Cricetulus griseus: one gene and its partners. The main gene of each other region encodes a partner of the protein of the gene in region 2 in a complex. Links are inferred from orthologs where the notes say so. Each region holds a gene or a part of one and is shown on either strand. Other genes may lie near its edges.

Region 1 (9,567 bases), about 52 Mb from region 2:
CCCTGCACTCGGGCGGGCGTGCGGGCGTGGGAGGGCTAACTGAAGGGGTGGAGATTGACCCCAGCTGGGTCAGCCTTCCTTCGATCTGGGAGTCCCGGTGTCCCCGGCCACGGGAGCGCAGGCACGCTTGTGTTCAGGTTGCTTGCGAGGGCGTGGGGAGAGGCAGGGTAGCTAGAACGGTTGCCATCTCCCAGGTCGCTGCTCCTCGTCCCAAGACGGCGGTGGCTCGGGCGACCAGACCTATCCAAACCAGTCCTTCCGAGGCACTCGACTGCCCGTGGCTGGAGATGAAACCGGCAGGTGCGGGTCCCGCGGTCTCCCCCGGGACCGAGTCCACGGATGTGTCGCTTGGCCCGCCGTTTCCTTGGCCCTGCCCACCCGATGTGCGGCTGTGTGGCCACCTGCGGAAGCAGAAGTCTCAGCGCCGCCGCTTCTTCGTCCTGCGTGCTGACCCTCCGCGTCTGGAGTGCTACGAGAACGAGAAGAAGTTCCTCGCCAGCGGCTGCCGCCCACCTCGACCCCGGCGCAGTGTGAGCCTGGAGGGCGCCTGCACTATCAGCAAGCGCGCGGATGCCCGCCAGCGCCACCTCATCGTCGTCTACACCAGCGACAGCAGCCTGGGCGTAGCGGCGGCCAGCGAAGCTGAGCAGCAAGCATGGTACAGCGCCCTCCTGGAGGTGCGCGCCTCGGCCGCGGCAGCTGCTGCCACCGCTATGGGTGAGCCCTGGGCGACAGGGAGGGCAGGGGGTTGCCGACTTAGCTTATCCAGAACCCGTCTCCCCCAGATCATCAGAGGTTCAAATCTTAAACTTGCACGTTTTGGTTTCCTGGGACACGGTGACCCCCAATCCCTGCTTCCCAGTGACTTGCCCATTCTCTCCAGGTCTCAGTCCCCAAGAGGCCCCTGAGTCTTGGATCTTCGCCCCGTTCCAGGACGTCTGGCCTGTGACACTGAGGTCCAAGGGGCTGGGGCGTGTACAAGGCCTGAGCAGCGGCAGCTATCGCCTGTGCCTGGGTTCTGGGGCCCTGAGCCTCCTGCGGAAGCCAGGAAGCAAAGGCTCCAAAGACAGCCGGGCATCGCCACCACCCGCCCTGCGTCTGTCCTTGCTCAGCGTGCGCCGCTGTGGCCACGCAGACTCCTTCTTCTTCCTGGAACTCGGGCGATCAGCGCCCACAGGTCCCGGGGAGCTGTGGATGCAGGCACCTGATGCAGTGGTGGCCCAAAGCATTCATGAGACCGTCCTGGCTGCCATGAAGAGGCTGGGGAGCAGTGCAACCAGTGGCAAGGCTGAGCTACCATCTGGAGATCTTCCAAACAGTGCTTCTGCAGCCCCTGCCCCGACAACATACGAAACCCCTGCTTCTGTAACGCAACCAAAAAGCCCGGGTGAGAGAGCAAAGCAAGACTGCAAGACCTTGGAAAGGACGGGGCCCACACCCTCCTACAAGGGTCTAGATCTGGGCGGGGACTATATCACCATGGGCGTCAGGGATGACTATGTGCACATGGGAGGGAAGGCTGGTGACTACATGTGGATGGCACCCCCAAGCCTTCCTCCCGCCCCTGCCAGGGTAGATTCTGGCAAGTCACTTCAGGACTGTGAGGGCACAGAGTACGTGCCCATGAATAGATTTTTACCAGGGTCTTTTTACTACGAGCTCAAGGCCAGGGAGCCTGAACTTGGGCATCAGGGTGCCCCCTGCAGCATTAGGGACAGATGGGGACCCACAGAGGCTCAGCCCCGCTCTTCCCAACTTTCAGAACTATCTGGGGATTACATGTACATCCCAGACTCTGTAGGAATGAACAGTGCTAAGCCAGGGGCCCTGGATAGCTGCCTCAACTATGTGGACCTGGACCTAGTCCCGCCCTTGGAGGTGCCTGGAGCAGTCTCTGAGGATAGTCCAAATAGTTATGCCAGCATCAAGTTCTAGAACTTTTGGGGGAGATGTCAGGGGAGGAGACCCAGGCATTGGCCAATGGAGAGAGAAAGAGTTACTAGTGTTCACTTCAGCTCCTGCACAGGGGAGCAAGGGACCCTGAGGTCACCACATCCCTTGTAAGCGGCTATGCTGCCCCTTGTCTGCTCTGTCACTCCCAGCTATGTGTCACCTAAGAAACCCTCAGGAAGAGGTTCTCCCAAGAAATTAGTTTTTTTTTTAATTTTAAAGGGTTTTTAAAAATTTATTATGCATACAGTGTTCTGTCTGCATATATGCCTGCAGGACGGAAGAGGGCACCAGATCTCATAACAAGCTGGTAGTGAGCCACCATGTGGTTGCTGGGAATTGAACTCAGGACCTCTGGAAGAACAGTCAGTGCTCTCAACCTCTGAGCCATCTTCTCCAGCCCCCAAATTAGATTCTTTTAAAGAGAGAAAGTTCTAGAATCTCTCTCTGTCCCAACCCAAAAAAACCCAACCAACCAAATAGAAAGCCCCCAAACCTTACAAAGTTTGGGGCCTTTTCATCTGAGACCCTGATCTTATCTGAGGAATTCCTACAGAATCAATCTCAGGCTAGCTGTGGCCATACCATGGGGGAAGACCACCACCCCAATTTGGACAGCTCTGTCTTCTCACATATTGGGAGCTAGATGTCATTGTGTCCCCTGAACCCAAGAGCTATCCTCACTTAATGTTTTCAAGCCAGAGATGAACTCCTACGGACCTGGCTCAAAAATGATGGGAGCATCAGGGACCATGTTTAGTGTTCCTCTCCCCCAAGGAACCTGGCCTCTTAAGTCCTCCTCTGGTACCAGTCAGGCTCACCTGGCCCTTCTCTTGGCCTGGCGGAGCTGACTAAGTCCTTGCTTCCTAGAGTGCAGCCCAATCGAGAACTGTGGACCCAACCCACCCATTAAAGGTGCTCTGCACCCAGACTGTCTTGGCTGAATGGATTTCCCCACCCCAAGTAGTAGGTGACCAATGAGTAAAGGAGACTTGAAGGAAAGGCAAGTGACTGTAGTGGTTTGAAGGAACCCAACCTGCCTCCCCATCCCAGGCCCCGCTGTGTCGCCTGATGCACAGAGCCTGGTTTGCAAACTAACGGTGATTTATTGTCAGCAAAACAGCTCGGGGGAGAAGCCAGAACTAGCTGAGGGAAGGCACTATGGACAGTGGGTATCTGGGGTCTGTGTGGGACATGCATCAGTGCTTCCAGAACAGCTCTGGCCACCACTGGGGCCTGGGTCTTCAGAGGCAGAGCCAGGGTCTTGGCAGCTGGTAGAGGTCAGAGGGCTTGCCAAGGAGTTAGGTCTCAGCTCTCCCTGGCTCATCTGCAGCAGGCCAGTCAGGGCGATCATCTCTGCCTCACTGAGCCAGGTGGAAGAGCAGGCCTGGGATGAGGAGGGGCGCACAGACGAGGACATGATGGGGGGTGGGAGCAGCAGCTTCCGAGTGCCCACTGCCTGAGGAAACAGGAAGGGAAGTTCATCCCCCCAGGCCTTGCTTGGAGGAAGAAAGGAGGGAGGCTCACTCTTACCTGCTGAGGGGGCTTGGACAGGTACAGGGGAACACGCTGCCCACAGGGTAGCAGAGGGTCCAAGAGAAAGACATCTTCATAGCCTGTCACTGGGAGCCCTAAAGGAGGAGAGCCTGCTAGCTTGGTGGCCTTGGCCTATGTTAACCCTCACTGCAGCTGCCCCAGAAACATCCAACAGGTGAGGGGCCAGAGAAGTACCTGTATCCTTGGACACTTGTGCTTCTTCTGGATGCCCTGAGGTAGGGACCCTGCCCCAGTCATCATACATAGGCCAGGAAGGATGACACAGTGTCCTGCCGGACAAAGATGCGCCTGACCCACAGCTGGGCCCCTGTGGAGAACAGGAAGTGACTGTTGAGTGGCTCCATCTCTCTTATGGCACCTCTGCTACCTGGTGACTGAGCCTCGGATCCCCCAACTCACCACCAGCTGAGGTCTTGCATTAGCCTCGTGAATGGGATCCCAAAGTGGCAGCGGGGTCATCCTTGAGGGGGTGGCCTGGGAAGTCATCTGGGGAGAAAGAGGTACTGCGAAGAAAGGAGACAAGAGTAGAACAGGCTCTAAATCTCTGGGGCTTTGTGGGTGTAAACAGCAAGATCTGGTGCCTACCTGGGGCTTCCACAGTCCGCTCAGGAGCCAGGTGATTGGAGGTCGGAGGCGGCAGCTTTCTTCCGGGCTCAGATGGGCTGAGGGCCTGGGGCTGTGGACTGTGTGAAGGGAAGGACATGCTCTTCCACTCCCTTCCCTCCCCAGGGCTGGCTTAAGTCAGTCACAGGACCAGCAACCCATTTCCCAGCACGGACCTCCGAAAGCGCCCATCGCGCCTCCTAGCGGCCCACCAAGCCCTCACCTGTCCTGCGCCGGCGGTCCTGGCTTTTCCGCGGTTTCCTCTCCACAGCTCCAGTCCCCGCCGTGGTCACTGCCCGTGGACAGGCCTGCCTCCTCGTTGGCCTCCTGCTGGCCGGTGCCCCACGGCCCAAGCCAGGGCAGCATCCTGTGTCTGGTGGAGCGCCAGGCAATACCCACCCCTGCGCCCGCGTGGGGTCCTGACTGCACAGGCGCCCAAGTCCTTAGCCTACCTCAGAGGTGTCGCCACGACGCCTGCGCCAGTTTCTACAGCCACGTGGCACGCTCCCGCCAGGTTCTCAAGGGCTCCCCCTGGCGGCAGAGCCATGGGGCACTTGTGCCCTTGCAGCCCCTCTACCCAGCACAGAAACATCAGATTACCCTGGGACCCACAGTAGGGCCCATGTACCCAAGAAGCTCGCGCACTCACAGACAGGTACACAGCTGAGGGCCAACCTACAGGCCTTTGGGCTTTTCTTTATTGTGTTTGACACAACATTCTTCACCCAGACCGGGGTCTGCACCCGAAGCAGCCTAAGGGCAGGCAGATACCCAAGCGCAGTGCTACACACAGGGCCGTGGTCACCAAGTCCTTGTTAATTGGCAGGGCCCAGGTGTCATCTGTTCCCAGGACAGCTCCGGTGGTGGCTGGGGCCAAGAGCCCTAACCTCTACCCCTAAGGTTGTTCCAGAAGTGCGTGAAGGACAGCAGCGATGTGAGGGAGGCCCCTTCCAGGGGCCCCCTCCTCTTCCAGGATGTGGTGGGGCTGGCACAGGGACTCCTGGGGGGAGGGGCCCAGGTTAAGTTTTCCCCTGGCATTCCCCAAGCAAGGCTGGCGGGGTGGAGGGAGTGGGGGCACGCTCCTGGTAGACACATGGAAGCTGTCAGCAAATGACAGAAGGGTGGTAACACAGAAGGCTCAGGGGCAGGAGAGGCCTGTCATTTCCAAAGGGAAATGCTTGTATAGGCAGGCTGACATAAACGGAGCCCAGGCAGGACAAGGCCTGGCTGCAGCAGGAGCTCACACAGCACACACAAAAGTGACAATCTATACAATTTATACACAGAACCAGGGGCCCATAATGGGCCCACATCCCCTACAAATATAGAGTTCTCTCTCTCTACAAAATAGAGATAATTTAGCTCCCCCATAGCAGCCAGTAGGGGGAGGGAGGTGAGAAGGGAAACAGCCAAGGTCTGTCATCCCTCTGGGGGACAGAGGGCTGGCTAGTGGGAGGACATGAAGGCACCATCAGCACTAGTGGGGTAAAGGGCTACTGTGGGCACTAGAGTGGGGCTTCTGAGGTCAGTGTCTGTGAGGGGTACACTAGTGTCTTTGGTAGGGGCTGAAGGCACCACCGGTGGGGACATGGTTGAACAGGAGGACTTATAAATAGAAGGTAGGGAATGAAGGGCAGCGTGGGTCCTAGGAGCCCAGGAGCCGAGTGTACACGGCATAGAGCAGCAGCATGGAGGCCACGTAGAAGAGGAGGAAGCCACCCAGACCAGAGGAGGGCTGGGCTGGGAGGGGGGCCTTGCCCCCAGCCAGGATCACAGCCTCCAGTGTGGTCCGAAGCCCCTGGGTGGTGCCCCGGAGGAGATCCGAGGGCGAGCACAGGTCAGCCTGGGAAGGGAGGGCAGGGCAAATGGACAAGGGCAAATGACACATGTTAGAAGCATCGAGCCACAGACCTTCCCACCCTTGCCTTCACAAACCAGGACCACAGCCAGAGCCATACCAACAAGCAGACATGCAGGACAGGGAGACAGGAGGGAGAGCAGGGCAGGACTGTGAGGGGTGGGCCCAGGACACAGGCTTCCTGTAGAATTAGATGCCCAGTGGATTGAACCCCACCCCTCATGCATGGTGTTCAGCTGAGCCCAGAGCAGAGTGGCCCCATACCTCAGGGACACCCATCTTCCGACAGGCTTCTAAGAAACTCTCTACATTCTTCCGAGACTTGAGGGCACTGAGCTTTGGCTGGGGGTGGAGGGAATAGAAGAGTTGGAAAGGCACAGCCCCAGTCTTGCCCCACCCCCTCCCTCCTCCTGCTCCCACTGACCACAGCAGGTGAGGGCACATGAATGAAGGGTACAGAGCGAGGCCGTAGCTGGTTGGCCAACTGGCAGAGGATGACCCCACTGGCGAGAGCCTCCGTCAGGTCCTCAGGCAGGGGCTGCTGCAGCCGTGACTCAAGGACCTGGAAGCAGAGACAAGAGAAGCAGGTGGGATCAACAGAGAAGTCACTCCATCCCTTCCCCTCCTCGATGACAGTTCTGGGACAAGGAGGAGTTGAGGGCTGTATGGGTCCTGAGGAAACAAAGGGGAATGAGGTGCCATGCTGGGCCAGGCCTCTGTCTACACAGATACCACTCTGCTCACCTGTCGAAGTTGGGACATGAGTTCCTTCTCATCTAGAATCTGAGGAGACGGCCGAGGTCTCACAATAGACTCTGGAGAGGAAGGGCCTGGGAGGTAAAGGGAATGGGGACAGCTCTGCTTCACTGATAAACTTTGGAGCCAGCTCCAACAGTCTCACACCAATACCACCTCCTGCCTGGGAGATTTTTCACAAAAAGGGACAACACCCTGGGGCTGGAGAGTTGGCTCAGAGTTTAACAGCACTGGTTGCTCTTCCAGAGAACCTGGGTTCAATTCCCAGCACCCATATGGCAGCTCACAGCTGTCTGTAACTCCAGTTCCAGGGGATTTGACACTGCACACAAGAGTATATACAGGCAAAACAGCAGCACACATCAAACAAACAAACACAGGAATAACGCCCTGAGAGACACAGGTCCCACAACATAGGAGTCCTGAGGGCAGACTCACCTGAGCCACTCTGAGAGGATGAACGGAAGAGGAAGCTGTTTGGTCTCTGAATGGAGCCCAGTGGCCTGGGGACAGGAGCTGTCACTGGGGGAAAGCCAAGGGCAGGCAAGAGACACTCCTCAGTGGCCCACTCTTCCCCCAGGCCTCTATGTCCCAAGCACCCCGAAGCCACCATCTAAAATGCTATCCCTACCTGGTCCAGACACAGGGGTGGGCTCCTGGGAGATGGAGGATGGCGTAGGAGCTCCCTGCCCCCCTGAAACTTCCAGTTGGGTAGCACTGGACTTCGGTGGGCCACTGAAGGAAAAGAAGGGACTCAGAGAAGGCCACGAGGAAGGTGTAGGGAGATAGATCTTGGGAGGACACCTACTTGGAGGTGGCCTGTGTGGATGAGGCCGAAGCACCCGTGGCTCTGGTCCCCCGCTTCAGGACACTGGAAGAAGCAGATGAGGGATAAGCTGGACAGTCAGGCCACACATTCAGAAGAAGGGAAGGGTTTTCATCTGCCTGCTGTCTGTAGCTATCCCAGCCCCAGGCCCTTACCTGTCCCTCCTGGGGGATCCCCACCCCCCACTCTGTTGTTGCTGCTGCCTCCGCTCCCGCTCCTGCCACAACTGCAAAGTGTCTGGGTGCCGCCTCTCCTCCCCTGCAGGCTCCTCCCGCCTGGCAGAAGACAGGACAAGAGAGATCTTTGTCAGGTAAAGGGGAGGTGCCAGGGCTGGTGAGTATGGGGCAGCCCAGTGGGTTTGGGGTTGGAATACCTGCCGCTCCCTGTCCTCTCCACATCCCCTGCTACAAGGCTTAATTCAGAAGGTAGCTGCTCCTGGAGAGAGAAGAGCAGAGGCTGACACAGGCCTGGTCCCCCGGGGTTGCACCAACTTCCCCATTCAGTGCCCCTTCACCTGGACAGGGACATAACTGGGCCCTCACCTCAGCTGCATTTCGCTCTTCATCTTCCCCCAGAACATGGCTGTCAATGAAGTCAACCTGCTCCAGGTCTCCATCGCCTGCAGGGCCAGGGCCAGGGTGAGCAAACAGGAGGGGCTTCCAGGCCCACACTCACCCTTCACCCTCTTGGGCAGACTCCCTTGCTCACCAGAGCCATCTTCCCTCTGCTGTCTGGGCACCCGGGGCTCCCGGGCCAGCTCTGAGATCCGGAATGACAGCTCTGAAAAATCATCTGTGGACTTTGAGGCAGAGAGGCAGAGATGGGTCATGTGCTAATCTATCTGCAGGGCTGAGGGCCACAAGGGTTCAGGCCTGAAGAGTCTGAGACTAGGGTCAGGTGGGGAGCCACCAGCCTCCTGGGGATAGTGAGGAGGAGTCCCAGCCATGACTTCTTACTGGGGGGGTGGGGGTATCAGGTACAGGTCCCCAGTACTGAGTCCCTCCCAGTGGTGACATCCTCAATGTCCTTACCAAGGAGGTCCTTACCTCATTTCCTGACCACCTCTTGCTGCCACTGTCAACACTATGGAAGCCCGAGTCCAGGCCGCCATCATACCGACGTCCCGGAAATAAGTCTTCAGCAGGGCTGGAGCAGCCAGGGAGACCTGATCAGCTCCATGCTGGCATCACCCCCACCCTCCCACTGGAATCCAGGGGTGGTCTCTGGTCCCAAGGACCTTCCTTCCCTCACCAAGGGCCTTACCAAGGACTAAAACCTGGGGGATGGGAAGGGACCAGGTCCCCAAGGGCAGCTCCCCGCCTTCCGGCCTCCATTGTTAAATACTTGAAGATATGAAGTTTTCCCTTCAGACAGATCTGTGCGAGGGGCACATGTATAAGAATGAGGTGACTCCCCAAGCCTCCCATGCTTCCTAACAGCATCACTGTCCTCAACGTCCATCCAGGCTGCACCTTACCTGGGCAGGTGGACTCTGTAGGGGGTTGCTATCCAGCAGAATGACCTGCAGGTGTCTGAGGCGGCAGAAGGAGACCGGAATTCGGGAGACACGGTTACAGGAGAAATCCAGGCGGACCAGAGGAAGGTCCCCCAGCTCTAGGGATGAGCAAAGGGAGAGTTAGGAGATGCGCAGGCCTGAGGCCTTGAGTTCTCATCCTTGCCCTTGGCTCTGACCAGCCAGTCACTCCTGGCTTCATCATAGCCCTCCACCCTGGCTGGCTCAGCTCATTTCCCAGAAGAAACCTGCTCCTCTCCCCACTCACATCTGAGCTGAGCCAGATCTACTCCAGCTGCTGCACAGACCTATGAATCCTCCTCCCCTGCCCGCCCCCACTGAAATCCACTCTACATTCTCAAGTGAGCAGCACAAGACAAACCAACTGATGGTCACTGCATAAAAGCCTCCTATAGCACATGGCCATGGCTGCTGAAGTCGGGTGGGAATGGTGTGCAGAAGGGCACACAGTTCAAGGCCAGCCTCAGCTACATGATAGTGAGT
Region 2 (10,333 bases):
TCCCACCCAAAGGGACGGAAGGCGGGGCAGACACAGAGCCCCAACTCCAGGCCAGACGCCGACAGCGGGCTTTCCCCAGCGCTGCTTCACTGCCAAGGAGGCGGAAACCCCGGCGGGGGCGGGGCCGGAGGGGCGTGGCATCGCAGCCCCGAACGCGCCTTCCGGCCAACCGGATCCCACGAAGGCGGGGGAACACCGTCTTCACGCCCCCTCGCCGCCGCGCCCTAAAAGCAGCACGCGGGAGACCCCCTTCCTGTCCCGCACACCCCGCGGGCCCAAAGCAATGCAGCCCAAGGCCCCACCCACACGGAGGGGAGGAGGGGCGGGGCCGCAGCCGCGGGCATTAAGCGCGAGCCCGTCCCGCCCCTTTCTCCACCACCGCACGCGCGCCGGCCCCGCCTCTGATCGGCGGGACGAGGGCCCGCCCCTCCGTGCGCACCGGGACTACGCTCTCCTCCCCCTCCCGCACGGAGTGCGGCCCCGCTCCGCCCCCCATAGCCACGCACGGGAAGCCGAGGTCAGCCCCCCCGAAAAACACACGCCCTCCAGTCCTAGGTTACCCGCCACCCAGCTGCCGGGTGGACCGCGACGCGGCGTGCTCTCACCGCAAAAGCTCCAGCCACTCAGCCTGCGCGTCCCTCCCGGCGTGAGCCTCGCACCCAGCACGGAGGCCCCGGAACGGCGCGGGCACAGGCCCGCAAGAGCGGACTGGCAACCTCCTTTGCGCTCACGAAGCGGTCACAGGCCTGGGTGCCCAGACTGGGAAGGAGGGAGGGAGGGAGGGAAACTCTAAGGGGGGAAGGGGAGGGGGGAAGATGGAGAAACCGTCTCTGCCGCCTCTACCGCCGCGGCCGCTTCTCTGTTACCCGGGAAATCCCGCCCACTCCCAGCCCGCCCCGCCGAGGGAAGGCTTAACCTCGCTCCGCCACGGGATGTATTAGCCATCCGTCAAAGGTTTAGCCAATCACCACGCCCTACAGACCTACACCCGCCTCCTTCCTCGCTGGGAGGGGAGGGCGAGGCGCTCACCTTCTCCACGCCCCTATTGGCGGGGAGCGTCCCTAACTCAACCCCGCCTATTGGAGACTGATTGCCGAATCCCTCCCCCAGGCTGCAATATTATTGGAGGAAGAAAAGCACCTTGTCACATCTCATTGGAGAGTCCCATATATCCCTCCCCATTACCGCCCCAGCCACAGGCCTAACAAATCGGCTCCCGCCTCCGCCGGTCACCGCATTGGAAGGCTACCTTTGGTTCTCTCACAGCCCCAGGAAGGTAAGTAACCAATGTGGGGTAAAAATGTCCGTAAGTGAGACTGACTCCACCCACCACACTGCTGGGCCAGGCCCCGCCCCCAGCAATCTGATTGGATTATCTTGGCGCCGGTAGGAGCCGCCATTGGACACGGCGCCGGTCCAGGAAGGAGCCCATTCTGCCTTGCGCGAGGATGCTGAACCTTAGCAGTCCTTTTGTGGAATGTTTACACTAGAGACTGAAGCTCAAGAGTTCCAAGGCCCGAACTGGACATGGCTTGGAGCTCATCAGTCAAAACCCGAGGCTTTAGGATTTGAAGAGGAACAGCAGTAGTATTACCACCGCGGAGGACTTACCAAAACAATGACAGAGGATCTTATCCTTCCTACCCACTTAGCTTTACACTTTTCACTGTCTCCTAAATACAGCCAAGACCCAAATTAAGGTCTTGAGCTCTAAACTGATACACAAACCCAGAGATTACAAGCCAGTCGCTAGGGGTGGCCGCATACTGTGACACTCCGACAACTCCAATATGCAGCCCTCAGGGGGCGGAGACAACCCAGCGGAGGCCTTTAAATGTCACCGCCTGGGCAAGCCTCCGGAGGGCGGAGCAAGAGGCAAAATGAATTCCCTATTGGCAGGGTAGATCCAGAGACATTTTAGGCCAGGGAAACCGAGATGCAGAAAAGCTCAAACAGAGCACGGTATAAATAAACCTTGAGGATGCATTCATATTCAGAAGATGAGTAAAAATTCCAGTGTGTGTGTGAAGGGGTGGTCTTGAGAATGGCTGTTCAAAGCGAAGAGACTGTAATCCCAACTATCTGGGAGAATGAGGCAAGAATATTGCTTAAATTTAAGAACTCTAGACCAGCCTCTTTTTAAAAAATGAGGGGGCACCCATAGCTTCCTTGAATGCCTGAAGCACACAAGTGTTTTAAGATATCTAGCTCCTTTCATTTATTCATCAATAAGGTGTTGGCCCAACGCGGACGTTGCTTTGAGGGTGCTTTTGCTGCGCCATGAGGAACAGTTCCAGAACTAGTCTATCAGAGCTCTGCAGTTAAAAAAATGAATTCTCCCTAGAATTAAGTGTTCTTCCCCAAGTGATTACTGCACGGGGAAACGTTTCGCAAACCCAGTGCTGCCCTCCTGTAATCCTGAGAAGACTGCCATAAATAAGCGTTGGCAACAGGTGGGTCTGACTCCTAGCATGGCTCCATGCCGCGAGGCCATAATGAGTTGTGAACTACAAGAGTGGCCGACAGGTGGGAGAAGTCACACCGGTAACCAAGCCAAACCCTGCCCCTGGATAGGGCTCTAAAAATAAGAAAATCACTGAGTCAAACCGCCCAGAGGTTGAGAAAGCAGCGCTCCAGAACTGACAGATACCATGCAATGAACCGCCTCACCCACTACACTACCTACCATACAGCACTCCCACCATGGTATCAACAAACACCCCACCCCACCCCCGAATCCTTGCCAGAAATAGGCCTTCTAGACTTCCCTGGACTGCAAGAGACCGAAGTATCACAGATCTTGCCTAAGGTTCCATCACTAGGTTGTCATAATCAGATTCCGCCGACTAAGGACCACGACTGTCTTGCCAAGGGAATTAAGGATGCGGCCAATGTTCAAGCTTTCTCAAACTTAAATTTAAGGAAGTCAAGGGGCACGGAGAAAAACAGCACCGGTTGACCCGAACTCATTCCCTCCCCTCAATTCGGCAGACCCGGAGCTACACTTTGCAGAGCAACAACGTCAATTGTAAGGCTTCACCTCGAGGGCTACCAGATCTCTAGACTCGGAAGAATCTTTGTGTGCCTCCAAGGCTTTCCCCGCCCCCCTTACTAAGGGCGCGGAGCCTGAGACTTCCGGGCGGGAGGGAAGTTGCAGGGAGCTAGGCGGGCCGCAAACATGTGCCGAGCGCGCTCACGAGAAGCGGGGGCAGGGAGCAGGAGTACGTCCCCTCCTAGCTTGTCCTAGAAGGGGAAGGCCTATCCAATTCACCAATCAGAAGCAGGGGCGGGGGCTTGCACCTAGCAAAAGCCCCAGGAATCCTCCCTCCGCCCTTCGAAGAAGAAAAAATTTAGCAACTTAAACTCCAGTCCAGCCTCCCGATAGGCGGAGCTCTAGAGAATGTCATCCAATCTGTACACAAGAAGGGGAAAAAGGGACTCGCGTCCAACCAGTGGAAGACAAGAGAAGGCGGAGCCTCAGAGAGGCTGGAGTGGGTGGAAGAGGAAATGGCCCCGCCCCTCTCTGGTCCCCTCCAGGCCGGTTGCACAAGCTCCCCGCAGGAGATAGTAAACAGTCTGGGCCAGGCAGCAGAAACTGAGGTGGCCGCTTACTCTGAAGACTGCCCCTGAGCCTCCCCTCCCCTCACTATACCGCCACTGCCCGCACTTTGCGCCGGCGCCCCGCCTCTAGGCCCGCCGCCGCCATCCGGCTGACAGGCGCGCCCCTCCCCTCCCGCTGATGCATTTCCTTTTCCCTATTCCAAGCGTGGAGTCTGTTTTCCCAGTTTCCGACCTTCACTGCCCCTTTCAGGCCACCCCTTCGTGAGCGCGCGCGCGCGCACGGCTGCCCCCACCCCGTACGCGGCCCTGTGGCACGCAGCGGCACCTCGCGGAAAGAGGGAGCCCAGGCAGCGCACTACGCGGGGAGGGGGAGCAGTCGCCGCCGCCGTGAGGTGGGCGGGGAAGGAGGCAGCTCCATGTTTGCAAGGGGATCAGCTGGGGCCGCGAATCGAATCCGCCGAGTTCCGAGAGCTTTTCGACACTCAGCTAGAGCTCCGCGCCGAATCACAGCCTTTCCGGCTCTGGCGCCGAATACTTGCTAGATTGCCACGGTTCAGGAGTTCAGACACCGGCGCCTCCCGTGGTTAGTGGCCAGAACCCCTCCCGCCCCCAGTCTCCTCCTGCAAATACAGCATTGCTCCCGCCCCCAGAGTCCTTAACAACCGCGGGTCCAAGGTGGCGCGCCTCCCCAGAGCTCGCCCACCGACCCCTCCAAGTTTGGCGACAGAAACAAACCCTCGGGGCGGCTGCTGCACTCGCCCAGCGTGGTTAGCGGAGAAAGACCGCCGGCCCCGGCTTGCTCTAAACTCCAGCGGTCGACCAACTCCGGGACACCGTGAGCTCCGTGGGCCCGACCCACCAAGCTGCGGCCGCCGCCCCCTGCCGAGCCCGCGCGCCGCAGTCCGGGCCCTGTTCCATTCGCTGTACAGAAATCCCTCTTTTTTTCTTTATGCGATTTTTCTTTTAAAATATTTTTAAAGCATTACAAGAGCAGTTGGTCTCCGGTCGGCCCATTCCCCAATGCGTTGCCTAGACTTACCGAAACCGACTGCTTGGTAAATTAACTGGGTGGCGCGGCCGGCGGAAGGGCGACCCCAGGCCAGGCCGGCCCCCTCCCCACGGCTCCAGTCCGGCTTGGAAACACACTACGAGCGGGCGGCGCCAAGCGCTCTTCTTCCTGGCCTGCCCCTAGCCTACCTCGGCCGCGGGACTCCGAGACTCCTCGCAGCTCGGTCTTGGAGACCGCGGTACCCACACAGCTTGTGCCAGCCAAAGCAAGCAGCCAAGGAACTAGCCCCCCAAAAGACCGAAATTGGGGAGACCAAATTAAAAGCAGCTGTTTAACATACCTTCGGAACCAGGCGAGGAGTCCTGAATGGGAGGGAACGCCCCCCACTAGCCATTGGCTCTTCTGTACATACGTCAGCACTCTGGGTCCGCCTCCTCCCTCTCCCCGCCCCTTCCCCTTCATTGATCGCCCCTTGCCTCCACAAAAATAAAAATAAATAAATTAAACTAACCAGGAGTTGGATTCTCATCCGAAACAGAGGTTCTTACATCTCCCACACTGCCTCTTGAAATTTTTCGGAGACTTCGGACTAGTCCTTTTGAGATTCGGAGTTCCGCAGCGTGGAAGATGCATCTTCATTACCCGGCCTCAATTTCCTTCACACACACACAATCCATTTGGTGCTGGGTCAGGAGAAACGTGTAGCAAGCAGTCTGTGATCCTACCATCTGGACGCGCCAGATATCAGAAGCGAAGCAGGGTCCAACCTGGTTAGTACTTGGATTAGAGGCAGGCAGCTAGTGGCTGCAACATCTAGGCTTTACTGTTTGAACCCTATTTCCAGCCTACATTGTTAGGTGCCTTTCAGCTATGAAATCTGAAAACCGGGAAAACTGGCACTTCTCTGAGTATCCACGGGTAGAGGGCGGGAGCACCGGGTGTCGGTGAATCGGACATTTCACTGTATCTGCTACAGAGTGCAGATTTGTAAACAGGCTGAGATGTCCTTGATCCCCTCCAAACACTTCAGATCCAGATAGGTGCCACAGGAGGTAAGGCAAGGTTGTATGTGTGTGTGTGTGTGTGTGTGTGTGTGTGTGTGGTGTGTGCGTAAATCCAGTCACTCCAACATGAGGAATTGCGTTTAGCTATCAGCTGAACAAATTCTGAAAGTAGGCTGGACAAAAAGGATGCCAATAGTCAAGGAGGGAAGCGCAAAGGCTGTAATGTGGGTTTACAGACTTCAGAGGGGTATCTTGGGTCGGAGAATAGACTGGAGAAAGCAAAGGGAAATTATCCTCCTCACCACCCAATCAGAAAACTATCCTCACTTTCAACAATCCTCAGTTGAAGCTCCTTACCTGCCTCATTTGCTATTTATCATTAACTATTTATTCACAAGAGCTGAGCTGAGCAGAGCCGTGGCACACAATGTGAGCAAGAAACTATTTTGTTGTTGTTGTTTCCTTTTATTTGTTTTGTTTTTCAGGCAGGATCTCATGATCTCAAACTCATAGCAGATGTCATTAACTTCTTCCTCAGCCTCCCCAAGTACTTGGATTATAGCTGTGAACATGTTTTTTTGTGTGTGGGGGGGTGGGGGTTGTGTGTGTTTTTGTTTGTTGGGTTTTGTTTTGTTTTGTTGTGCTGGAAATCAAACCCAGGGCTTCATGTATGCTAGGCAAGCACTCTTCCAGCTGAGTGCTTGGTACAGCCCAGCCCCCAAGAAACACTTGTTTTAGAAGTCATTGAAGAAAGGGAGTTAACTGGGATATCAGGTAGGGTAATGAACAGGAAAGGATGCTCTGCCAGTTAGACAACTTCCAGTAACCTGAGTTACTTGAAAGAACTTTACCAAGCTTGGTATGATGACGAATGCTTGTCATTGCATCAGTTTGGAGGCAAAGGAAAGAAGACCTTGAGTCCAAAGCCAGCATAGGCTATATAGTAGACCTGGTATCATTTAAAGAGAGCCTATTTGAGGAAACCTCAAGGAAGAGTAGATAAATGGTTCAGTGTAGGTAATAGAAGAGGTAGCCAGTGTCCTTCTGTGGTTACTAGAGGGCTAGCATAGCCAATGATTGGTGGTGTTATACTCAAGTAAATCTCTTCTATTTTGGGGTGAAAGTGAGTACACAGAGGAGTCCGTGGAGATAATGTAAGGATTCTTCCCTTACTTAGAGTCCATGTGGGAAGCTGTCATTGAGGGAGACTGGGCAGGCAGGAAGAAGTACCAATCTAGGAAGGGCAGTGGTCATTCCAGCTGGTATATGGGAACTGGAATGTGAGTGGTAACTGCAAAAAACCAAGTAGAGAGGAAAGGTCAGGAGATGAGAACAATGGGTTCAGTATGAGGCCTGACAGGGCCATGGAAGTCACCGCTCATTCTTCCTAGATGAGGATCAACTTTTAGCTGAAGATAGAAACAAATACTGTATTAATGAGTTGAAGCACAGTAGTACTGCACAGAGAACATTAGGCAGAAAGTCCCATTGATGTTGGCTTCCATTTAGTTCATCCTTATCTGTGAGTCCACCTGCTCTAAGGATAACAATTCTTACTATGGTATGAGGATCAATATAATTACTGCCTAGTAAGGTTCTGAATCTCAGTGGAGGCCAGAAGCCTAGGCATTTGACTATTGTCCTGAAGAGCAAGTGGCATACTGTAGTTATGTAATTTGTGTGCACAAGCATGCACACATATGCTTATGTATGATTATGTGACCATAGACAGGTGTGTACACCAGTGCATATTTGAAGGATGTTAAGTGTCCTGCTATCAGCCTCTGCCTTATTCCCTTGAGGCAAGCTCTGTCCTGAATCTGGAACTAAGCTGGTGGCCAGCAAGCCCCAGTGATTCTTCTGCCTTCCCATCCCCTACTCTCCAGCTCTTGGGTTATAGGTATACATGTAAAAAGAAACCATACCAGTCTGAGTTTTTTGTTTTGTTTTTAAGAGACAGGGTTTCTCTATGTAGCCCTGGCTGTCCTGGAACTCACTCTGTATAGGAGAGGGCCTTGAACTCTGTCTGCCTCTGCCTCTGCCTCTGCCTCTGCCTCTGCTTCCCCAATGCTGGGATTAAAGGTGTGCACCACCACTGCCCAACCATACTGGGCTTTTTACATGGGGAATGGGAAGTTTAATTCAGGTCATCCTGCTTGTGCAGCAAATGCTCTTACTCAATGAGCCCTCTCTCTACCTTCATTATGGAGAAAGGAACACCCCTTGGATTGAGCTCTTTGAAAGGACAATTCACCTTTGGGGGGTCTCAGTATTCAGTATAGTCAGGGGCCCAGGAAGGGACCCAATGACTATTTCTGATTCAGTATTGGGTAGACATTATCCCGACCGTGCCAACGATTCTTCCCATTTCTCACTCCCCTAGTAGTGAAGGTACAATTGAATGGATCTGGATGAGTATCCTTGGAAAAAACATCAGGATGTGTTTGTGTGAAATACCCTGGTCGTTTTCTGTTGGACACTATTATCTGTGATTATAGATTAGCACATTGAAGCCTCAACCAGTAGAGGTACTTGCCTAAGTCCAAATCCTAAGTTTGTTCACTCCCCCGTATACTGTTTCTGCATACCATCCAAGTTGAGGCCTTTAGAAAGAACACCCTGCCTTCTCTCCTGATGCACAAACCTTACTTCCCTGCTTCTAACAGTACTTTGTCATCAGATAGTTGAGAAAAATTGTATTCAAAGAAACAAGATTTGCCTCCCAGCTACATACAGATATGGGTCTTTAATTCACAACATGTATGTTCAAACTGTCACCCTCCATCTACTTCATGGATATGACATACTCATTCTCATTCACAAAAAGGAACTCATTCACATACCAGTGTCTCTGGTCTATCTTCTCTTCCCAAGTACTGGAATTAAAAGCATCTTCCACCCATGTTGATTTCCATGGGTGCAGGAAATTGAACTCGGTTCTCCATTCTTGTGAGGCAAACACTTGACTATCTGTACAACCTGTCTCTCAGTCCTTAGCCTCCCACCACAACACACTTTTGGGTTTTTTTTGTTGGTGGTGGTGGTGGTGGTGGGTTTTTTTTTTTTTTTTTTTTTTTTTTTTTTTTGGACATCGTTTCACATAGCTCAGGCTGGGTTAGAATTCATGATGATCCTTCCCAAGCCTCCTTGAGTCCTCAGTGCTAGTAATAAAAATATGAGCACTTGGAACACAAATGTATTTAGCTCTTTTTAACTTTCAAAAAAATTTGAGCTAGGATCTTACTAGTTGCCTAGCCTGGACTTTGAACTCCCTTTGCTTGTGATCTTCCTGCCTCAAGAGTCAGTTAGGTGGGGCTGGAGAGATGACTCAGTGGTTAAGAGCATTGACTGCTCTTCCAGAGGACCTGGGTTCAATTCTCAGCACCCACATGGCAGCTCACAACTGTAATTCCAGTTCCAGGGGATCTGACACCCGTGGAAAAACACCAACGTATGTAAGATTAAAAAATAAATATCAAAAAAAAAAAAGTCAGGGGCTGGAGAGATGGGTCAGAGGTTAAGAACACAGGCTGTTCTTCAAGAGGCCCTGAGTTCAATTCCCTGCAACCACATGGTGGCTCACACCCATCCCTTAAGAGATCTGGTCCCCTCTTCTGGTGTGCAGATGGAAGCAGAATGCTGTATACATTTAAAAAAAAAAAAAGTCAGGGCCTTTACTTTAGTGACTGACTGACAATTATAGGTGATCAGCACTCTCAGTTCAGTCATATCCAACAGGAGACTCTTGAGCTCTCTACCCTAACTCCTAGGGTTTTGTTTTAAGACAACATCTCTTATACCCCAAGCTGGCCTAGAACTTGCTATATAAATAAGGATGACCTTGAACTTTTGATCCTCTGCCTATCCCTAGATTCTAGCTAGGAGGTGCGGGGAGGGACCCTCAAAACTATTGATCAGAATCTTCTAGGTAGATTATTTCAGCAAATCGTTTATCTTAAGATTGGTAGAATTCTGTACTGCAGTGGGCTGTAGTAATTTAGAAAATTTAAAATAAGTATGTCTAGCATATAGTCAAGGGTCATAAACTTTTTTTTTCCTTTTTCCAAAGTTACACTCCTTCCTCACTTGGCCATTTTTTTTAAATGCAAATTCCCTGGCAATGCAGACCTCAAAGAAAAAACTCATCTCTAGCTAACTAGTTTCAGTGGCATATACTACAATATGTCTTATTGGAAGTTTGGAATTTCTTAGTGGGCTTAAAGTGATTAATCACTACCTGGAAATGTCTTCTCCTCACTCAACACTGGCTTACCTAGGGTCACTATATAACTAAATCAGGAAGATAAATGTAATAATAGTATATTCCCCCAGTTTATCTGGTGTTCTTTTATAGACAGACTGGTGGCTGATGACTTTTTTTTAAACAACAGGTTCCTCCAATCAAATAAAATCTACTTGAAAAGCCCACTATCAAAGAGATAAAGGTATCCCTATTTGAGTAGAAGTGAAGGCAGCCTGAGCACCATCCATATTCCTTCCCCATTCCCTCCAGCTTCCCCCAGACAGCCCCTGCCAGATATGTACTTAAGATGGGAAGTAAATGAAGAGATGCTACTAGATGAAACGGCTGACCTTTGCTCTGCTCTGTATCTGGCTGGACTTGCAGGTTTTTTTTTTTTTTTTTTTCTTTTTTAAGATTTATTTATTTATTATGTACACAGTGTTCTGCCTACATGTATGTCTGTGGGCCAGAAGAGGGCACCAGATTTCACTACAGATGGTTGTAAGCCACCATGTG
Region 3 (10,165 bases), about 72 Mb from region 2:
AGTCTACAGCCAACCTTGGTTGTCACTATAAAGCTTCTGCATTTTCAGGATCAGAAACACAATGCCAACTGAGGCTCAAAAGTTAAAATGAAGGATGGCTGTGCAGCCCCAGGTGGGCAGAGCACAGACACACTGAGCAATGTGACCTCTTCTTCTCAACACTCACACAGAGGTGTTACAGGCAACCACACACACTAACAAGTCTGTCTGAGCTGTGAGTCCCGGGCTGGGGTGATACTTTTGCCTCGACATGGAAAACGCCCCCAACTTCCCAGTGATAAACAGCAACAACAAAGGCTTAAGAGAACACCCTTCAAACAAGACCTTTTCATTCCTCAAGAAGACTGGCAAATGCAAGACACCTCTTTTCAGAACAGTGACAGGCCTGAGGGCCCCATCCCAACCCCTCTATCATGACAAACCCTAATGAGCTCATATTCATCACGACTAAGAGTGTTCAGCTTTCATCACAATGGCTGCCTAGCTTAGTAAGCATGAAGGAGACAAGATCAAGCAAAGCATCTCTGAAACTGCTGCTGAGGAGGCTGGAGAGGTGGCTCAGGGGTTAAGAGCACTGGCTGCCCTTCCAGAGGACAGGGTTCAGTTCCTGCCCCTATGTGGCAGAAGACAGCAGTCTGTAACTCCAGTTCCACGGGATCCAATGCCCTCTTCTGGCCTCCTAGGGCACTGCAAATGTGGTACACAACATGCAGGTAAAACACCCATACACAAAAAAGAAAAATAAATGGATCTTTATTAAAAAAAACAAAAACAAACAAACAAAAAAAAACTGTTTCTGAAACATGATAAGGACAAGAGGTAGATGGGGAGATGCCCAGAAGGCATGTGTCTGAGAAGTCTGTGGAACCCAAGCCCCACTACACAGAGGGAGTAGCCAATTCTTGCCACTGAGCCCTCTCAGAAATGGAATGCTTGCAGAATGATAAAGGAAGGGGAGCGGGGACGACACCAGATCCATTGTGATCACATCCTAGAAGAGTCTGTGACAACCCATTTCAAACAAGCCACCAGATGCCACCAGTAAAAAGCTGGCAAAGTAGAAAGGCCAGGCAGAGTTCCGGGACACAACTGAGAATACACATGTATGAATTATTCATGTAACCTTGTTTCAGCACTGACCACACCTGGCAGAGTTGCTCCTTTGGGTTCAAAAGCTAGAAAATGTCAGATTCCAGAGGTGGCCAAGCACATTGTTTAAAGGAGACTCTGGGGGTCAGAAACGTGGACCACCTGCCCTATAGGAGCGGAAGGGTCCCAAGACAGACCCAACAGGGTCTCAAGATAGATCCAACAGGGCCTCAAAATAGAGCCAATCACCACTTTCTAAAAACTGGGCTAATGCCTCACAACCTGTAATCCAGCACTCAGGAGTATGAAGCAGAAGGGTTGTGATGAGTTCAGGGCACCCCTGGGTGACAAAATGATTTCCAGATAACTTTGAACCATGGAGTGATACCCTCTGGCTAACTCATCTTTCCTGGACACAGATAAAGTTTGGGGCAGAACAGTGGCAGGCACCTGTAGCCCCAGCTCTGTGGGTGGCTGATGCAGAAGGACAACTGGAGCCCAAAAGTTTGAGACCAGTGTGGCAACATGGCAAGAGCCAGGTTTGTTTCTTGTTGGCGGTTGCTAGTATTTTTCTTTTTCTTTCTTTCTTTCTTTCTTTCTTTCTTTCTTTCTTTCTTTTTTCTTTTCTTTTTTTTTTTTTTTTTTTTTTTTTTTGGTTTTTTCAAAACAGGGTTTCGCCGGGCATTGGTGGCGCACGCCTTTAATCCCACACTTGGGAGGCAGAGGCAGACGGATCTCTGTGAGTTCGAGACCAGCCTGGTCTACAAGAGCTAGTTCCAGGACAGACTCCAAAGCCACAGAGAAACCCTGTCTCGAAAAACCAAAAAAAAAAAAAAAAAAAAAAAAAAAAATCAAAACAGGGTTTCTCTGTATTGTTTTGGAGTCTGTCCTGGAACTAGCTCTATAGACCAGGCTGGCCTGGAACTCACAGAGATCCTCCTGCCTCTGCCACTAACACCAGGCTCATGTTTTTCTTTATTTTAACAAAACAAAAAACAGAAAAGAAAGAAAGAAAGAAAGAAAGGAAGGAAGGAAGGAAGGAAGGAAGGAAGGAAGGAAGGAAGGAAGAAAAAAAGAAAAAGAGCAAAGCCAGGTGTGGCGGTGCACACCTTTAATCCCAGCACCCTGTGAGCTGGAGGCTAGCCTGGTCTCAAAATCATTTCCCCCACTCCACCCAAAAAAAGCACACAGGGCTTTAGTTTCTCTGGGCGCATGTGACCATGGCTGAAGACAAAGGAGGGGCTTAAGTGAGGATGTGTGAGAGCAAACAGAACGGATGGCAGGAAGAGTTCAAAGAATGCTCCAACCCCAGCTTTCCTGAATTCTCAGGACACCTAGAGTATTGCCAACAATATGCAGCCTAGGGGCCTGCAAGATACCCATTTCTCTGGGCACCAGCTTTCAAATCAGATCTATGATGGCCTCATCACACCCCCTCCCCCATTATTTCAATCATGGCTCTTGCTAGCATACCGGCAGAAGAGCCCATAACAGGTGAAGACTCTTAGATGTGACCAGGGGGGGAGATTATGAGGAAATGTGAGCTTTGCAAACACTAAGGTCACAATCAGGGTCTCTATGAAGACTGAATCGACTCTGTATTCCAGAGGGAAAAGGCATAAAGCCGGACTCACTGCTCCTTCATCTCCACGTAGTCTTCCTCATCGTGCTTCGCCAGGTCTGTCTCACTGGCGTCCTCAGTGTCTGCGTGAAATGAGGGAAGAAATGACGGCTGAGATCAAAAGTCACAGAACTGGTATCGTGACAGCATAATTAATGGGCATCTGGGAGAATAATAAATTTCTACCCACTTCGGGTCTGCATGAACCTACTAGCAAAAATAAGTGCAGTAAATGTGGTTAAAACAAAGAAGAAAATGCCAATGCCTTTTGCATCTTGGATTTATGCTGAGTATCTGCTTTTGTTTGACATACAATCAGGAAGAGGTCACAGCAGACAGGCAGACCTGATGGAGGCCACACAGCAATGGTGTGCAGAGAGGACCTGGGTGCGTACATGCCCATCCCACCACACATTAGATATAAACGGTAAAAAGGAGGCCGTCCCCACAGCAAATTCAGTTCTAAAAACTGATATGTTTTCAAAGTTAACAGATTAAAAAAAGGGAGGTGGGGAGGAAAGAAGATCATTTTTAAAAAATTGTCCAAGCCAGGTGATGGTGGCACTTGCCTTTAATCTCAGCACTCTGGAGGCAGGGACATGTGGGTCTCTGTTAGTTCGAGGCCAGCCTGGTCTACATAGCTAGTTCCAAGACAGTTAGGGCTGTCACACTGAGAAACCCTATCTCAAAAAACCAAACAAACAAGCAAACAAACAAATGAATAAATAAAATTGAAAAATTGATCCAAAACTTGCATGGCCAAAAATAGGGGCTGGAGGCGTGGCTTAGTACAGTTAAGAAAGCTGTTCTTTGCAGAGGATAGGGATTGGTTCCCCAACATCCACATCAAATGGTTTATACTGTCCAGTAACTCCAGTTCCAGGAAATCTGGCACCCTCTTCTGGTTTCAAAGGGCAACTGTACATACGTGGTGCATATAAACTCAGACACATAGACATACACATAAACAAAAATTAATTAACTAAAAAAACATTTTCAATTATATTTATTTCGTTTTATGTATATGAATGCTTCATCTGCATGTGGGTGCACCACTTAACTTGCCTGGTACCCACAGAGGTCAGCAGGCACTAGAGCCCTTGGAGCTGGAGTTGCATATAGACAGTGCGCGAGATCAAAACCCGGATCCTCTGAAAAAAATCAGCAAGCGCCCTAAACGGATGAACCATTTCTATAGGCCCCCATATATAACAACAACAACAACAATAATAATAATAATAACAACAATAATAATAATTTAAACAGGTCTTGAGCAAATAGGTGAATCCAATAGCCCCTACATCCAAGGGGATCAAATTTTGTCTTCACATCGCCCCCTCGTGGTCATTAAAAGCAATGCAGCGTTTCACATTTCGAAATCCCTGGTTTAAAAGCCTTGCCTTCAGTTAAACCAAAAGCAATCAGTTCCTTCAACTTTCTGCTCCGCGAACGCCGCTTTTTTTTTTTGGGGGGGGGGGTCGGGAGACACTTTCACAGAGGTCCTGTCTAGAGCCAGTCAGCTATGTCCCTTAGAACTAGAGAGACTAAGAGGAGCAAGACGATACTCCTAGCAGACAGTTGAAGTAGCTTTTGCTTTTTACAGCCCGACTTTGTGCCAGAATCCTACACTCCACTCAAAGGCCTCCCCGGTTCCCCTCCGTCTCCACCTCTCTACCTAGCTTCTCCCCCACTTAGCTGGCTCCTTCCTCAGTAAACAAAGTCCAGACTGAGAAGTGAAGACCCGAGGAGCGATAACGCAGATGCAAAACACTCGGGGACTGAAGACGAATCCCGACCTCCCCCCACTCCCATGCTTCCACTTCACAGAGGCAGAGCGGATTTCATTTAACCTACCCAGGAAGTGAGGACTCCATACTACCCTGCAAGTAGGTGGGTAAACAAGCCGCTGGGCAGCTTAAGGCCACAAAAGCCGGGGTGGGTGCCAGCCACACGAATACTTACACCCGGCTGGTTCCAGGTCCCCAAGTGGAGCTAGGGGGTTAAGCATTTCGAGGAGAGACGCTGGGCATCACTGAGACCCAAGTGCACTCCGAAGTATGACTTTCTCCCCCGCCACCCAGAAAGGAGCTCAGACACCGAACGGGAACACAATCTTAAAGGGACCCCTGGTTCTCAAGAGCTCTGGCGACTTCTGCCCCCTGCCCCCTAGGCCCCCGGGCTCCGATCCCAGCCCGGGCCGCACCTTCGTCGGACTCGCGGCCCCGGCAGCTGCGCTCGTCGTCCTCGGCGCTCTCCAGCTCCTCGCTCGTCGCTCGGGCCGCCTATGTGTCCCGCGGAGATCGCGGCCGCCTGGCTGCGCCCCGGACGGCCCCCACCTCGCGGAGCCACAGCCGCGGACACCCGGTGCCCCTTGGTGCCGAGCTCCGCCCCCGGCGCCCGCGCTGGGCAACGGGGGCCTCGCGCGGACGGCCACTTCCGGGTCGGAGGCTGCCCGGAGACAGCCTGATCCCGCCATCCTCGAGGCGAGGGGTGAGACGCCGGGCTCCACGTTCTCTCACAAAGCAGCGCCTCCTTCATCGTCGTCTTTAGAATGCTCGATCGGCCGGCCACGGGGGAGGGGCGAAGGGAGGTGTCGCTGAAGTCAGGCATATCCGTGGGCAGCCCTGCCTGCGGTCAGGACCCCGAGGTTGGGAGGACACTTCCGGAGACGGCCGCCAGGCGGCGCCCGGAGTCAAAACTAAAGTGTGTGTGGAGATGGAAGCGACCTGATGGGCGGAGGCTTTGCAAAGCCCTGAATGGGTGGCAAGGTCTGTTATTCAAGCAGATGAACGAAATCAACAGTTCCTTTGGTGGGTGTGGAAGCCTAGATAGCCAGAGTGTGTGTGATACAGAAAATGAGGAGTCTGCTTCCACCCTTGCCTTAATGGGGCTTAAGAATTAAAGGCAAGTTGCTGCCATTCCGTCCCCGAGTCCAGTGAACCTATGTGTCCAGTGTACCCAGGCCTCCCTCGTGCTTCCTTTTGAATAGATTTACCGGGTAAGCTGTTTTCCTGATTTGACAAATGATCAAAGAGCTATCATTCTCCATAAAAAAAAAAAAAATAAGAAAAAACGGTGGCATCAGTTTAGAATTACATAGCCAGGCTGCCCATGGGACTGCTGCCTCCTGTTTCCTCGAATATAATTTCTAAGGTACTTTTGCCTAACCCAGTAACTAGTTAACCTGCTCATTTTCAAGTGAGCAAATAAAGCATTTCCCTACAGGAAATACGTTGGCTAAAATTCAAAAGCCAACGCTGGGCATAGAGGCGCACTGTTGTAGTACCAGCACAGGGCAGGCAGATCTCTGAGTTCGAGGCCAGCCTGGTCTACAAAAGGAGTTCCAGGACAGCCTGGGCCATACAGAGAAATCCTGAATTGAGAACAAACACAAAAAGGCAAGAAGACAGAGTTTCTGCATTTGTTAATTTGCCTGGCTGTGTACCTCACCCCACCCCACCGCCCCAAAAGGGAAACGCAGTATTACAGTTTTGCTTTAAATTAAAAAAAAAAAAAAAGCCTGTCAGTGGTGGTGCAGGCCTTTAATTCCCAGGACTCAGGAGGCAGAGGCAGGTGGATCTCTATGTGGCCAGCCTTGTCTACAAAGCAAGTTCCAGGACAGGCTCCAAAGCGACACAGAGAAACATTGTCTAGAAAAACCTAAATAAATAAATAAAAGTGGGCTCTGCTTAGTGGGTCAAGACTATAATCCCAGCTACTCTTGAAAATAAAAGCAGGAGGGACAGCAAGATCAAGGTCAGCCAGCTTAGTGAGACCATATCTGAAAACAAAATAAAAACAAGGGCCATGGATGCTGCTGGGTAGAACACTTGCCTGGTATGCTGGAAACCCTAGCTTCAATTCCTAATGCGGGGAGGTGGGGATGATGTGGCCACAGTAACACCATTCAGTTGACTCAAATCTGCACTGAAAAACGGAAGAAGTAACAAATCCAGGCAGACGAGAATGCAGTGAAAGGCAGGGTGGAACCCAATACACAGTCTTTCTGATTCTCACAGCCTTTGTGATCAAATTTATTAAATTGGCCCCAGAGAGACTTCTAAAATGGAGAACACTTGTTTTGGGTCCCATTCATTCTGACATCTCCCATTTACTACCTTGTTTTAATTAAGTCTTGGTTCTCTTTGTAAGAGATATTTCCTCTGTGTAAAATGCAAGAATTTCCAGAATGCAATGCTGGATGCGTTTCCCAGAAGTCCCAGGATCTGAAACCCCTTCCCAGTAAGAAGAGTCTTTCTTCAAGCTCATCCTCAGTAGAGGTTTGCAGAGGGGTCTCTCCTGCAGAGGATGAGGTCAGTGTGTGTGTGTGTGTGTGTGTGTGTGTGTGTGTGTGTGTGTGTGTGTGTGTGTGTGTGTGTGTGTGTGTGTGTGTATCCACCCGCTGTTGGAGTTGGATCACCTCTACTATCTTAACTCCACGTTGAGGGACTGGAGCTCCCATTAGTAATGCTATTCACAAAGCAAAGGGGGGAAAATGAAGGGCAACATTTTTGAAATCAGAATTCATTGATACAATGAATCAAAAAGTAGTTGGTTTTGTTACTAAATGGTTACAAGAAGCTGGGCCCTTCTCTTGTAATCTTGCTTGCTTTTATTTCTGTCTCCCTGATTGCTTGTCCTTCGTTAATAGTCATGGGTTTCTGTTGTATGTGTATAACAAAGACACAAACCTGGGTGATGACAGTTACCCCTTTTCTTCCATGGAGACAGCAGAGCTGGCCCAATGAGCAATTTATGTATTAAATGCTCTTCTGGAACAGGGAAACTACATTTTAAAAACCCTTTGTGACTTTAGGCTTGGCCAACTTTTATTCTTTTATTTATCTATTTATTTATTTGTTCCATAAGCCAACTTTGCCTATAAAGCCTAAGTTTTCTTCAAAATCAAGTTTCACCCCTTAAAGTCCACCACTGCTTCTCTCCCTAATATGGTACTCAGTCAGTCTGCTTAGTAAATACCTACCTCAGAGTTTGACCTGAAACTCAAACCCTGGAGCCCTGTGTTCACAACTTCAGGCCTTCTCAGGAAGCCTCTGTGTTCCCACCATCCAGATTTTAAGGGTGCCCAGTGGTTGGGATGAAGTTTGATTTGCAAACAAAGTTTAGTATGCAAATTTGGGAAAAGAGCAGTTTTATGACATGCTTTTTTAAAAAGGGGGAGGGGTAAGTGTGGTGGCCACCACACATCAGGGACAGGCAGATAGATCTCTGAGTCCAAGGCCAAACTATCTACGCAGAGTTCTAGGGCTACACAGTGAGACCCAATCTTAGATAAACAAATAAATAAGAAAAAAAAAGTTTGTAGAGCATTTACTTAGCGATAAGGCGTGTCTACGTCTGCCAAGGCCTAGGGTGAAAATGTGCCCCTGCAGAAAGCTATTTTGAGCTTCTACCGTTAACTGAAGCAACACAGCCATTTCCACAAAAATATGAGACTGGTCCTGGTGCACTTTAATCCCTGGCAAACACTATGCTTCAGCGTGGCTCAGGACGGATCCAGGTTATTGCAGGGTGCACTTGGGGTCAGAACTCAGTGTCCTTCCACCTTTGGTTCCTGAAAGCCTGTGGCCCTGAAAGAGGTTCAACTGAATATGCTTGCTGGAACCTTGCCAAAGTTAACGGGGTTCCCTACCCCAGATCCTTGTACAACAATAATAATCAAAACTCACGAAATGATTATTTCTTTTTTCACTTTTTTTTTCTTCTGTGACAGGGTCTAGCTATCTACCCCAGGTTGAACTCAAACTTGAGGCGATCTTCCTGCCTCTGCCTGCAGAGTTATTAGTTATTGGTGTTCACATCACATCGCGCCACGAATGGAAAGACTTGACTTTTCAAAATGTGTCCAGACCGCGTTAAGTACTTAGCTGTATAGAGTGTTTATCTGGTCTACAGTTTTTTGGGTTTTGCTTTTTTTTTTTTCTCTCCTTTCCATCAGTAAACTGACGTCCACTGAACGCAAGGCAAGAAAACGCCATCCCCCTGTCTGAGACCTAGGAAATATTTACAAGCCCCCAGGAGGAAAGCTTGCCTTGAGGGGGGGGAGACTAGGAGTTGCGAAAGACCTAAGCGAGAGACCTAAGAGATCGGGTCCGTCCCACAAGCTCTCCCACGGTGGTCTCCCAAGAAAAGGCAAGGCATGGGGAAGAGAGCCACGAACTCTGACCCCTGTGCTGCACAAACAAGCCTGGCCGCACCCTAGAGGGCCACGGGTAACACAATTTGAGAGAGCTTCCGCGTTTAAGAGAGCCCCGCCCCCACTGGACCCGCCCACTCCCCCAGATCCGCCAATCCCCTGGATCCATCGACCGGTCGGCCTTCCCAGGGAAGTCTAATAGAACGCCTATATGAGGCAAGAACCCCCCCGAGGCCTGGGATCAGGGAAGGTCAATAGAGAGCCTATCAGAGTGCGGCTGGGGGCGGGGTCGAGGGCGGGGCCGAGCGGGGGCGGGGCGCGCTCCGCGCAGTCGGGTGCGATTGGCCACCCCTGGCGGAGCCGCACCTCGGACAGCAGCAGCGGCGGCAGCCAGGGTCCTGCGTGGAGAGTGGGGCGCGACGCGGGCTCTCGAGCGGAGGCTGCACGTGGGGACCCAGCACGTGAGGAGCCAACACGAGAGCGACTCGGGGCACGAGGGAGAGGAGGCGCGCGGCGTCCGGGCCACGGGTGACAACGCTGAGGTGAGAGCGCGGGCGCCAGAGTGACAGCCGGAGTCCCGGCGCGGGGACCCGGCGCAGCGGTCACGAGCATCCCGGGAGAGGAGTTGCTAGCTAGCGGATCTGCCAGTGCTTCGGGGGACCGGGAAGGACCGGGACGGGGAGTGAGGAGGGGACTCCGAGTGGGACCGTGGGTGAGAGGGGACTCCGAGAGGAATGGGGAAAGCAAGATGAGAGGGCACCGAGAAATACCGCAGGTGAGCAAGGGGACCCCAAGACGGGAGTGGGCAGTGGGATCAAAGAGGAGACTTGGAGAGGGACCCGGGCCAGTGGGATGAGCGAGAGGACCCCGGAGAGACTGCGACGGCGGGATGAACGAGGAGATCAGCCCCAGATGGTCCAGTGAGAAGAACGGACCGGACCCAGAGAGGGACCGGAACCGTGGGATGAGCGGAGGAGACACTAAGAGGGACCGAGACTGCAGATTGAGCAAATGAACTTGAGAGAACCCAGGCAGCGGAATGAAGGAGGGGGACCCAAGAGAGACTTACAAGAGAATAAGCAAAGAACCTCAAGGGAGGCCAGGGCAGTGGTTCTGAAAACGGTGCCCTCTCAATGGATGTGAAGAGGACCTCAAGAAAGTTTAGGACAGCTGGGGGCAGGAGGGGTCCTCACGAAATGACAAGACAAACGGGTGTGGGCTGAGGGACCCAGAGCACAGGGCCAGCACCGAAGAGCGGGGTACCACGAGAGCGTGTAGAGCGTGAGTGTAGCTTTCTG

What was found.
Region 1: the proteins of Sin3a (region 2) and Sap25 are in contact, whole or in part, in an NMR structure (PDB 2RMS), measured with the Mus musculus proteins. The link is inferred for Cricetulus griseus from reciprocal best matches to the Homo sapiens genes SIN3A and SAP25. Residues at the interface, in NP_001103821.1 of Mus musculus: Leu121, Lys122, Val123, Ala126, Leu127, Leu130, Tyr144, Phe147, Leu148, Met151, Lys152, Phe154, Lys155, Thr161, Val164, Phe182, Phe185, Leu186, Pro187; in NP_001075431.2 of Mus musculus: Ala208, Glu209, Ile211, Ala212, Leu213, Ala214, Gly215, Leu216, Leu217, Gln218, Met219, Ser220, Glu223.
Region 3: the proteins of Sin3a (region 2) and Suds3 are in contact, whole or in part, in an NMR structure (PDB 2N2H), measured with the Mus musculus proteins. The link is inferred for Cricetulus griseus from reciprocal best matches to the Homo sapiens genes SIN3A and SUDS3. Residues at the interface, in NP_001103821.1 of Mus musculus: Glu616, Glu619, Leu620, Val623, Arg672, Ile673, Tyr674, Ala675, Lys677, Asp680, Ile681, Ile691, Ala692, Ile695, Val696, Arg699, Met702, Lys703, Glu706, Trp707, Glu709, Ala710, Phe714; in NP_848737.3 of Mus musculus: Ala205, Leu207, Asn208, Tyr209, Leu210, Leu211, Gln215, Ile216, Glu218, Asp219, Leu220, Thr222, Leu223, Leu226.

The regions. Positions count from the first base shown.
Region 1 is NC_048597.1:116,542,296-116,551,862, reverse strand, and holds Sap25 (histone deacetylase complex subunit SAP25), read right to left. Parts: upstream 4,636-9,567; 5' UTR 4,477-4,635; coding exon 4,334-4,476; intron 4,191-4,333; coding exon 4,093-4,190; intron 4,011-4,092; coding exon 3,907-4,010; intron 3,815-3,906; coding exon 3,682-3,814; intron 3,582-3,681; coding exon 3,484-3,581; intron 3,410-3,483; coding exon 3,110-3,409; 3' UTR 3,037-3,109; downstream 1-3,036. Other genes in the region: insulin receptor substrate 1, read left to right, coding at 288-717, 884-1,935; Lrch4 (leucine-rich repeat and calponin homology domain-containing protein 4), read right to left, coding at 5,756-5,953, 6,233-6,310, 6,393-6,530, 6,713-6,798, 7,163-7,246, 7,356-7,459, 7,533-7,595, 7,706-7,825 and 6 more. UniProt on the Homo sapiens protein: Involved in the transcriptional repression mediated by the mSIN3A but not the N-CoR corepressor complex.
Region 2 is NC_048597.1:168,591,199-168,601,531, reverse strand, and holds the start of Sin3a (paired amphipathic helix protein Sin3a), read right to left. Parts: upstream 4,937-10,333; 5' UTR 4,911-4,936; intron 4,621-4,910; exon of another isoform or gene 4,601-4,620; intron 743-4,600; exon of another isoform or gene 606-742; intron 1-605. UniProt on the Homo sapiens protein: Acts as a transcriptional repressor. Corepressor for REST. Interacts with MXI1 to repress MYC responsive genes and antagonize MYC oncogenic activities. Also interacts with MXD1-MAX heterodimers to repress transcription by tethering SIN3A to DNA.
Region 3 is NC_048597.1:97,074,218-97,084,382, forward strand, and holds the start of Suds3 (sin3 histone deacetylase corepressor complex component SDS3), read right to left. Parts: upstream 5,321-10,165; coding exon 5,072-5,320; intron 4,993-5,071; coding exon 4,914-4,992; intron 2,794-4,913; coding exon 2,724-2,793; intron 1-2,723.